Linked DNA regions of Caenorhabditis elegans. The protein of the gene in region 2 purifies or fractionates together with the protein of the main gene of each other region. This does not show direct contact. Each region holds a gene or a part of one and is shown on either strand. Other genes may lie near its edges.

What was found.
Region 1: the proteins of Y69A2AR.18 (region 2) and ZC262.5 purify together in Caenorhabditis elegans (affinity purification with mass spectrometry, with the first as the bait; one large-scale study listed by BioGRID). This does not show direct contact.
Region 3: the proteins of Y69A2AR.18 (region 2) and R05D3.6 purify together in Caenorhabditis elegans (affinity purification with mass spectrometry, with the first as the bait; one large-scale study listed by BioGRID). This does not show direct contact.

Annotation. Positions count from the first base shown.
Region 1 is NC_003281.10:8,341,616-8,344,521, forward strand, and holds ZC262.5 (Putative ATP synthase subunit epsilon, mitochondrial), read right to left. Parts: upstream 996-2,906; coding exon 915-995; intron 693-914; coding exon 609-692; downstream 1-608. Other genes in the region: ZC262.7 (Kinesin motor domain-containing protein), read right to left, coding at 2,156-2,536, 2,587-2,721. UniProt on the Caenorhabditis elegans protein: Mitochondrial membrane ATP synthase (F(1)F(0) ATP synthase or Complex V) produces ATP from ADP in the presence of a proton gradient across the membrane which is generated by electron transport complexes of the respiratory chain.
Region 2 is NC_003282.8:2,494,061-2,498,280, reverse strand, and holds Y69A2AR.18 (F-ATPase gamma subunit), read right to left. Parts: upstream 2,547-4,220; 5' UTR 2,533-2,546; coding exon 2,446-2,532; intron 2,399-2,445; coding exon 2,294-2,398; intron 2,242-2,293; coding exon 1,992-2,241; intron 1,938-1,991; coding exon 1,828-1,937; intron 1,779-1,827; coding exon 1,532-1,778; intron 965-1,531; coding exon 864-964; 3' UTR 606-863; downstream 1-605. Other genes in the region: Y69A2AR.16 (Exportin-4), read right to left, coding at 147-249, 423-464; ccdc-12 (Coiled-coil domain-containing protein 12), read left to right, coding at 3,114-3,253, 3,307-3,460, 3,514-3,729; Y69A2AR.19 (Protein-tyrosine-phosphatase), read right to left, coding at 4,218-4,220.
Region 3 is NC_003281.10:8,349,816-8,352,531, forward strand, and holds R05D3.6 (Putative ATP synthase subunit epsilon, mitochondrial), read right to left. Parts: upstream 991-2,716; coding exon 910-990; intron 688-909; coding exon 604-687; downstream 1-603. Other genes in the region: unc-116 (Kinesin heavy chain), read right to left, coding at 1,992-1,996, 2,240-2,531, 2,582-2,716. UniProt on the Caenorhabditis elegans protein: Mitochondrial membrane ATP synthase (F(1)F(0) ATP synthase or Complex V) produces ATP from ADP in the presence of a proton gradient across the membrane which is generated by electron transport complexes of the respiratory chain.

The DNA.
Region 1 (2,906 bases), on a different chromosome or scaffold from region 2:
AAGAACTGCTCGTGAATTATGGGCAAATTCGAAAGTTGAAGGTTACACTTAAAATTGGAATATCTAGTTTTTAATGTATTATTTCAGGTGTCCGTCGTCTCCCTGCTTCGTTTTTATCGACTAAGTGAACTTTGATCGAATGAAAATATTGTCATTTGTCATTTGTATTATTCAACTACATTAAATTTAGAGTTTAATGGTGCATGAATCATTTTCCAGGACTCGGCGCGATTTTTTATGGAGGCTGAAGTTCTGTATTAATTTAACAACTGTACTTCTTCTTCATTTGAAATATTTTTAAACACTGCCATGCGTTCTAGCACGAGCGAAACTTGTAAGCCACCGTACCAGCACCTACACGAGGTACGGTAACTGAAAACTTTTTCACGTGCCAGGACCCCGTTCCGGGAGTTTGTTTTGTCGGATTTTTATTATTCTGGTCAATACTCATTTTTTCTCACTTTTTCAAACGCTTTCAAACAAAACTAAGAGTTTATTATTGCACACAAATCAATAAAAAATGCGGAAAATGGCATATTGCACCGAACTTGATGAAACCTATTTGTTTATTTTTTTCTCAAATGGAAATGATCAATTATCGAATGAATCTATTGAGACTTGGACACCATCTTTCCATTCTCCCAAGCAGTGGTCTTCAAGGTGGCTTGGGGCTTCTTCACGTTGGCGCCTCCCTGTAATTTTTGATAATTTTTGCGATTTTTCATACTTTGATGTGGGACAAAAATGTGTGAACCTTTAGGAGCCCAGTAATTAATTACCGGTAATTTTCAGAAACATATTACTTAATTGAAACCTATAGGTTATAACTTGAAAAATGATAAACAGAAAATTAACGGAACGGGTTACTGTACCACTTAAAGGGGCATATATTGTTATTTAAGGGTCCAACAAACCTTGGTGCACTGACGAACGACTTGTGCGGCGATTTGTGAATAACGGACGTAGTTGAGTCCAGCAGCTCTCCAGGCGACCATTTTTGATTTTGGGGGAAAGTTATTTAACCTTAATTTATACTATAAAATAATAAAATTTTCAGAAAAAGGAAGTAAATTGAAAGGTATGGAGAACAACCTTTAGACTAGAGAAATCTGTAAAATAAAAAATAAAAACTTTATACAGTCAAAGTTCAACAGGAAACTTGATAATATTCGAAAGTTACTGAATAATAATTAGTTGGTCCAAAATGGAAACAAAACTATCAATAAATATTTAATTACATTAAACTTATTTCTCATAGTTTTCAATGATATTCTCACTCCAGAACACTAATCAGTTAAGCTCATGCGTTTGTTGGTTATTCTTGCTCGTATGTTATTGTAAAATCTTGTTTAAAAAACAGCAAAACGTTTATTTAATAACAGAAAAAATAATAATTTTATTTACTGGAAGAGCAAAAGATACAAAAAAATGAATTACGCAATTGGGATGTGCGGGGATTTGGGGGCCGAATTGTGCAGAAACGAAACAAGTTGATTTCTTATGAAGAATGATAGGGGGATTTAGCAAGCAAGCTTTAAAGACACTCAAACGCATGCAAAAAACAATCATAGGAGTGTTGGTGGGTGACGGGGGGAAGAACCAGACAAAACCTCGTGTCAGATTAGTAAAACTGAAACAGGAAAATCGTATAGAAACAGACTATTAGAACAAAAAGGCGGAAAAAGGCAATTTGGGTGGGGGTGGAGGGAAGCTTTAAATACTTTTAGCTTTTGAAGTTTTGTATTCTACATGGAAGACGAGAAGCCAAGGAACGAAATGGGGAGACACAACCAACCAAATGAAGATATTTTTGTTGAAACTTCCAGAAGCCGCGTAATTGTATAAGTTACTAGATTTTAAAATAAACAGAAAAGCCCATCGAAAGTATATCACAAAGCCGGGAAAAGAAGAGAGATAGAGAAGCATTTGAATGTCAGTCTTCAGTGTATTGATTGGATCAAAGAAGACGATGAGTTGATGTTGTTGTTGGGAGACATTATGCTGAAAAACTTTGATTAGTGAAAAATGGACGGACAAAAGACTGTTAAATTTGATAATACGGTAGGAAGAAAAAGAAACACTCACTCTAATTCTAATTCATAGTATAATTACTTGTGAAAAATTACATGAGCACTAAAGAATTTTTTAAAAAATCTTAAATTTCTGCAATCAACTGTGAAATAGTCATTTTTGATGGTATCTGATTGCGAGATGTTGAAGGTGTAGATGTCTGACTAAACACACCGTTTGAGCCATTTGGAGCTCCTTGTGACATTCCTGCTGACGGAGACGTATACACTTGTCCTGGACGGATTGGCTTCACAATTTGTGGAGCATTCATTCGTCGCATGTTACGTTGTCGAACAGCTTCCTTGATTCGTTCAACTTCTTGTTGATACTTCTTTCGTTCTGCTTGACTACGTTGCTTCGAATCACGAAGAGCAGTTTCTAATATTTTGATGCGATCTTCACGACCACGAAGACGAGCTTCCATCTTTGGCAGTTCAACGCGCAAATCGGCATTGTCGCGAACAAGCTGAAAATTCAAGTTTTAAGATAATCAAAATGAGAATAAAAACGACAAACCTGCTTGTGAACCTTCGTCAACTTGTCCAAATTGTTCTCCAAGAACTGAATTCGTTGCTTTTGAGCTGGTCCACTGAGAGAATCTTCTCCCTCGGTGTCTTGATTGGCTTGGCATCGAGCAACAAGTACTCTCATGAACTCCTTTTTCAAATTTAGGGAAAATTCTGGAATGTTCCAGAACTTTCTAGAAAAATTGGGAAAAGTCTGGAATGTTCCAGAACTTTCTAGAAAAATTGGGAAAAGTCTGGAATGTTCCAGAACTTTCTAGAAAAATTGAGAAAAGTCTGGAATGTTCCAGAACTTTCTAGAAAAATTGGGAA
Region 2 (4,220 bases):
TTTAATGCGAAAAATTTGAATTTTAAGCTTGAAAAATGGGGGTTTCAGGAGAAAATAGAGAAAAATTAAGGGTTTTAGCGATTTCCTAGCGTTTTTCGTGAATTTCTTGTCAAAAACCAAGTTTTTTCAGCGATTTTCCAACGTACTGAGCAGAATTAAACATTCGTTAATTGAAATTTTCTTCTTTAAATCCTCGAAAAAGAATGTGACTTGTTCACGGGCTTCTGACGTCACCAGGTTCGGTGGGGCCTGAAAAATTGGGGTTTTAGAGAATTTTTCCTGAAAAAAACCGAAAATTTGCCGTTTTTTTCACTCAAAAATTCGGAAAATCACGGATTTAACGATTATTCAGGAAAATTCAGAATTTTTTAGCAAATAATTGTTAAAATCTAACATTTATTTGAAATTTTCTGAAAATTTACCAATAAGGTTTGTGCATATCCTTCTATCGTCGCGAGATCCATTTATCGGTTTTTTCCTAAAAAATTTTAATTAATTTCTTTTTAATCTATTTTTTTTTCTTCCAAAATAATCCGCATTAGGTAATTCTTACCGTCATTTTTTCCCAAAAATTTTCCGCAAAAAAAATATTTTAAGACTACCATACTAATCAAATTTTTTTGCATGATTTCCACGACCGGGAAATCATACAAAAATATATTTATTTCGCTTGTTTTTGTGTCACTATTTACTCAAACGTATCACTATAACAACGGGTTACACACAAAAAAATAAAAAATAAATCGAAACATCTAATTTTTGGGGGTGACAGGAAGGATTTAAAGTGGGGAAAATTGGGGCGTCGAAACAGCGATAGTTTGAACAACAATGGATGTAGAAAAGGGACAGAGAGAGAGAGATATTTAGACGCAGGCAGCTCCAGAGATGATTTCGATAAGTTCGCGAGTAATCACTGCTTGACGAGTTCTGTTGAAGGCCAATGTAAGCTTGTCGATCATTTCTCCTGAAAAAATAGAAATTAAATTTGATGTTGTAGCTATTTTTTGGATTCTGTAGTTAACATTTGAGAAAAACAAGATTTCGCGCCGGTAAACGACACTCCGAAATCCCGTCGCTGCAAATTTTTTAATAACATTTTTGGGCAAGAAAATCTGGTTTTTCAGTAGAAAATGGATATTTAACGTTAAATTAAAATTCCACATGGTTTTAAAAAAATTGTAACAAAACAGATTCTCAACGATTTCCGACGTTTTTTTGCAGAAAATCGACCATTTTTAAAGTTTTGAAACAGTTTTTTTTGTTGAGAAAAGTAGTTTTTCGGCGATTTGCAACACGAAAACCGGATATTCCTAGAAAACAGAATGCGAACCATTCGAATCAGAAAATTGTCTGGAAATATAAAAGAATATTCGCGAAAAATCACGAAAATGAGCCGATTTTAACTCCAAAAATGCCCAAAATACGTTTTCCAGCAAAAATATCAAATTTCAAGCCCAAAATTGCAATTTTCTGGGCTGTTCAATCAGAAATCATCTAATTCTTCGCATCGTCGTCCATCGCCGCCTCTTACCGGCGTTCTTCGATGCTCCGTCCATGGCAGTCATTCTGGAGCTCTGCTCTGAGGTTGCGGATTCCTTCATTCCGTAGTAGATCAATTGGGCGAGCGAATACTCGGAATACGATTGGAGAACGTCATCGTCGACGGAATCGTACGTGCTGAGGGCTTCCTTGGCCTTGATTGCCTCCAATGGAAGAATTTGGAGCTTTGAGGTTTCGTACGAGACGACGGTCTTGAAACGGTTGAACAAGATGGTTCCCTGCAAGAAAAAAAAATGGGGGGTTTTTAACTAGAATTTGAATATTTACAGTCTCAAAGTCATATCCAGAGTCGAGGATAGCCTTGGCAGCGATGGAAGCATCAGCGAAGCTTGGTGGAGCACGTCCAATCTCGTTTCCGGAGAGAAGAATGCTGTTAGCTGGAAAATAAACACAATTTTAAGACTTTTTCCCGAGAAAAACCAAAATATTACCATAAAGACGTTGAAGTCCGGCTCTGGACTTGTCTCCGATGGCTACAACGCGGATTTCCTTGTCTCCGGCGTTGTTGAGGATGTTCTTGGCCTCCTTGACGATGGAAGAGTGAACTCCACCGCAAAGTCCTCTGTCGGAGGTAATGAGCACCAAAACTTGCTTCTTGGACTCTTGCTTCTCGACTCCCTCGACAACTGGATCGATGTTGTCGAAGAAGGTCTTGGCTCCGACTCCGTAGGCTCTAGCTCCCTGGAAAATTTTGATATTTAAAGATTTTTCTTGAATAAAATCAAAGTTTTACCTTCAACTCACGCTCAGCCTTGGCGTACTTGGCGGCGGCAACCATCTTCATGGATTTGGTGATCTTTTGGATGTTCTTGACCGACTTCAGACGGATGGAAATGTCCTGAAAATTGGAGAATTGTGGGAAGCTTCAAAAAATCGCCTAGTTACCTTCAAAGTGGCAAATCCACGAGCCTGCTCGGCATTGGCGAAGCCTTGAGACACAAGCTGGAGAGTTCCCGCGCCTTGACGAAGCATGATGACCCTGAAAACTGTAGATATTGAGAAAACGGGTATTTAAAAACTTCGAAAATGACGTAATTTCTTGAACGTTTTCAGGAAAAATTCAATGAGAATTTTCCATGTATGCATATATCAATGTTGAAATAAAAATTGCAAATTGTTTTCTATAGGTTTCAGAAAGGAAACGAAAAATGCGGACAAAACGCATTTTTACTTTCAGATTTAGACCTAATTTTATCAAAATCAGGCGCTCAGCACGCTGTTTTTACGTAATTCTAAATGAAAACTGTTAATTTTCAACAGAAAATCAATAAAAATTAAAGAAAAAACCTGAAAATCGCTGAAAATCCGTGGAAAAATGAATTTTCACGCGCAAAAAATGGCAACCGCCCGAGAAACATAAATCGCACACGCGAAACGACTGTGACCGTACCCCCATTTCGCGGCGAGACCCACCACACGCCGTAAATCCACACTGAGTTTTTGAATTAATTTTTTTTGTTTTTCAGCTGATTTTTGCTTAAAATTCGTCTTTTTCTTTGATTTTTTTACATGAAAATTACTGAAATGTATTGAATATAATTAAAAATTTGCAGATGACCGACAAAAACAACAGCGATTCCGATGAAGACATCGAAAGTCTCACAAATCATGAAACGTCGTTAGAGGCTGCGGCGAAAGCACGCAAACGACGATTACTAGCGATGAAGTCGAAGATTCATGGAATTGAGATGCAGTGAGTGTCATTTTCATTCAAAAATTGCATAATGCTATTGTTTTTCCTTTCAGAGAGGAGGATTACGACGAAGGCGAGACTTCTACCAAGAAAAGTCGCGAAGTTGGTCGAGAATTCCGGAATCACAAGCCAGACGATGCCGTCGGCACGCAAAACGTCGACATGGATCTGGATATCGTTCAGCGAGAAATTACGGAGCATTTGAAGGTAGAGAGTCATCGAAAAATCACAATTTTCCATAAATTCCCCGCTTTTTCTAGGACGTTCTGCACGAAAAAGCCATCGACAGCGTAGATCTGGCGATGTTGGCTCCGAAGAAGATCGATTGGGATTTGAAGCGAGACATCGAGTCGAAATTGCAAAAATTGGAGCGGAGAACGCAGAAAGCCGTGGCGACGATCATCAGACAGCGGCTCGCCGAAGGAAAAGGAGATCTCGCCGCTACAGTAAATGCTGCGGCGGCACAAAATTTGTAAAATTTAAATTATAAATCGGATATACACACTGAAAAATCTTGTTATCGAGTCACAAAGTATGAAAAAACAGAAATTCAGACAAATTTCAGGTTTTTTATGAACTTCCCGAACTCCCAGTAGCAAAAAAAATCGATTTTCGCTAAATCCTTCAGAACAAAACGTGTAATTTTGGCAAACTTTTCCGGCTCAAAAAGCTTTTGTGACAAATTCACTAATTTATTCTTTTTTTTCAAAGCTTTTAAGATCAAAAAAAACAACCGAAAAGTTTGGATCTTTTACTTTTTGCAGACGAGAAAGTTCCCTTTTTTCATTAAAATTCAGTGGAAAAAAGGGAATTCCTTCAGGAAATCTATGAAAAACAGGCAAAAGTATATATTTAATTATAGGTTACTATTGATCAACAGTTTCAAGAAATAATTCATTGGTGGTCATGAAAAAAGTTCAATGACATAATCAAGTCTTCTAGTAGGCAAAAATCAAGTCAATTCTCA
Region 3 (2,716 bases), on a different chromosome or scaffold from region 2:
CTGCTCGTGAATTATGGGCAAATTCGAAAGTTGAAGGTTACACTTAAAATTGGAATATCTAGTTTTTAATGTATTATTTCAGGTGTCCGTCGTCTCCCTGCTTCGTTTTTATCGACTAAGTGAACTTTGATCGAATGAAAATATTGTCATTTGTCATTTGTATTATTCAACTACATTAAATTTAGAGTTTAATGGTGCATGAATCATTTTCCAGGACTCGGCGCGATTTTTTATGGAGGCTGAAGTTCTGTATTAATTTAACAACTGTACTTCTTCTTCATTTGAAATATTTTTAAACACTGCCATGCGTTCTAGCACGAGCGAAACTTGTAAGCCACCGTACCAGCACCTACACGAGGTACGGTAACTGAAAACTTTTTCACGTGCCAGGACCCCGTTCCGGGAGTTTGTTTTGTCGGATTTTTATTATTCTGGTCAATACTCATTTTTTCTCACTTTTTCAAACGCTTTCAAACAAAACTAAGAGTTTATTATTGCACACAAATCAATAAAAAATGCGGAAAATGGCATATTGCACCGAACTTGATGAAACCTATTTGTTTATTTTTTTCTCAAATGGAAATGATCAATTATCGAATGAATCTATTGAGACTTGGACACCATCTTTCCATTCTCCCAAGCAGTGGTCTTCAAGGTGGCTTGGGGCTTCTTCACGTTGGCGCCTCCCTGTAATTTTTGATAATTTTTGCGATTTTTCATACTTTGATGTGGGACAAAAATGTGTGAACCTTTAGGAGCCCAGTAATTAATTACCGGTAATTTTCAGAAACATATTACTTAATTGAAACCTATAGGTTATAACTTGAAAAATGATAAACAGAAAATTAACGGAACGGGTTACTGTACCACTTAAAGGGGCATATATTGTTATTTAAGGGTCCAACAAACCTTGGTGCACTGACGAACGACTTGTGCGGCGATTTGTGAATAACGGACGTAGTTGAGTCCAGCAGCTCTCCAGGCGACCATTTTTGATTTTGGGGGAAAGTTATTTAACCTTAATTTATACTATAAAATAATAAAATTTTCAGAAAAAGGAAGTAAATTGAAAGGTATGGAGAACAACCTTTAGACTAGAGAAATCTGTAAAATAAAAAATAAAAACTTTATACAGTCAAAGTTCAACAGGAAACTTGATAATATTCGAAAGTTACTGAATAATAATTAGTTGGTCCAAAATGGAAACAAAACTATCAATAAATATTTAATTACATTAAACTTATTTCTCATAGTTTTCAATGATATTCTCACTCCAGAACACTAATCAGTTAAGCTCATGCGTTTGTTGGTTATTCTTGCTCGTATGTTATTGTAAAATCTTGTTTAAAAAACAGCAAAACGTTTATTTAATAACAGAAAAAATAATAATTTTATTTACTGGAAGAGCAAAAGATACAAAAAAATGAATTACGCAATTGGGATGTGCGGGGATTTGGGGGCCGAATTGTGCAGAAACGAAACAAGTTGATTTCTTATGAAGAATGATAGGGGGATTTAGCAAGCAAGCTTTAAAGACACTCAAACGCATGCAAAAAACAATCATAGGAGTGTTGGTGGGTGACGGGGGGAAGAACCAGACAAAACCTCGTGTCAGATTAGTAAAACTGAAACAGGAAAATCGTATAGAAACAGACTATTAGAACAAAAAGGCGGAAAAAGGCAATTTGGGTGGGGGTGGAGGGAAGCTTTAAATACTTTTAGCTTTTGAAGTTTTGTATTCTACATGGAAGACGAGAAGCCAAGGAACGAAATGGGGAGACACAACCAACCAAATGAAGATATTTTTGTTGAAACTTCCAGAAGCCGCGTAATTGTATAAGTTACTAGATTTTAAAATAAACAGAAAAGCCCATCGAAAGTATATCACAAAGCCGGGAAAAGAAGAGAGATAGAGAAGCATTTGAATGTCAGTCTTCAGTGTATTGATTGGATCAAAGAAGACGATGAGTTGATGTTGTTGTTGGGAGACATTATGCTGAAAAACTTTGATTAGTGAAAAATGGACGGACAAAAGACTGTTAAATTTGATAATACGGTAGGAAGAAAAAGAAACACTCACTCTAATTCTAATTCATAGTATAATTACTTGTGAAAAATTACATGAGCACTAAAGAATTTTTAAAAAAATCTTAAATTTCTGCAATCAACTGTGAAATAGTCATTTTTGATGGTATCTGATTGCGAGATGTTGAAGGTGTAGATGTCTGACTAAACACACCGTTTGAGCCATTTGGAGCTCCTTGTGACATTCCTGCTGACGGAGACGTATACACTTGTCCTGGACGGATTGGCTTCACAATTTGTGGAGCATTCATTCGTCGCATGTTACGTTGTCGAACAGCTTCCTTGATTCGTTCAACTTCTTGTTGATACTTCTTTCGTTCTGCTTGACTACGTTGCTTCGAATCACGAAGAGCAGTTTCTAATATTTTGATGCGATCTTCACGACCACGAAGACGAGCTTCCATCTTTGGCAGTTCAACGCGCAAATCGGCATTGTCGCGAACAAGCTGAAAATTCAAGTTTTAAGATAATCAAAATGAGAATAAAAACGACAAACCTGCTTGTGAACCTTCGTCAACTTGTCCAAATTGTTCTCCAAGAACTGAATTCGTTGCTTTTGAGCTGGTCCACTGAGAGAATCTTCTCCCTCGGTGTCTTGATTGGCTTGGCATCGAGCAACAAGTACTCTCAT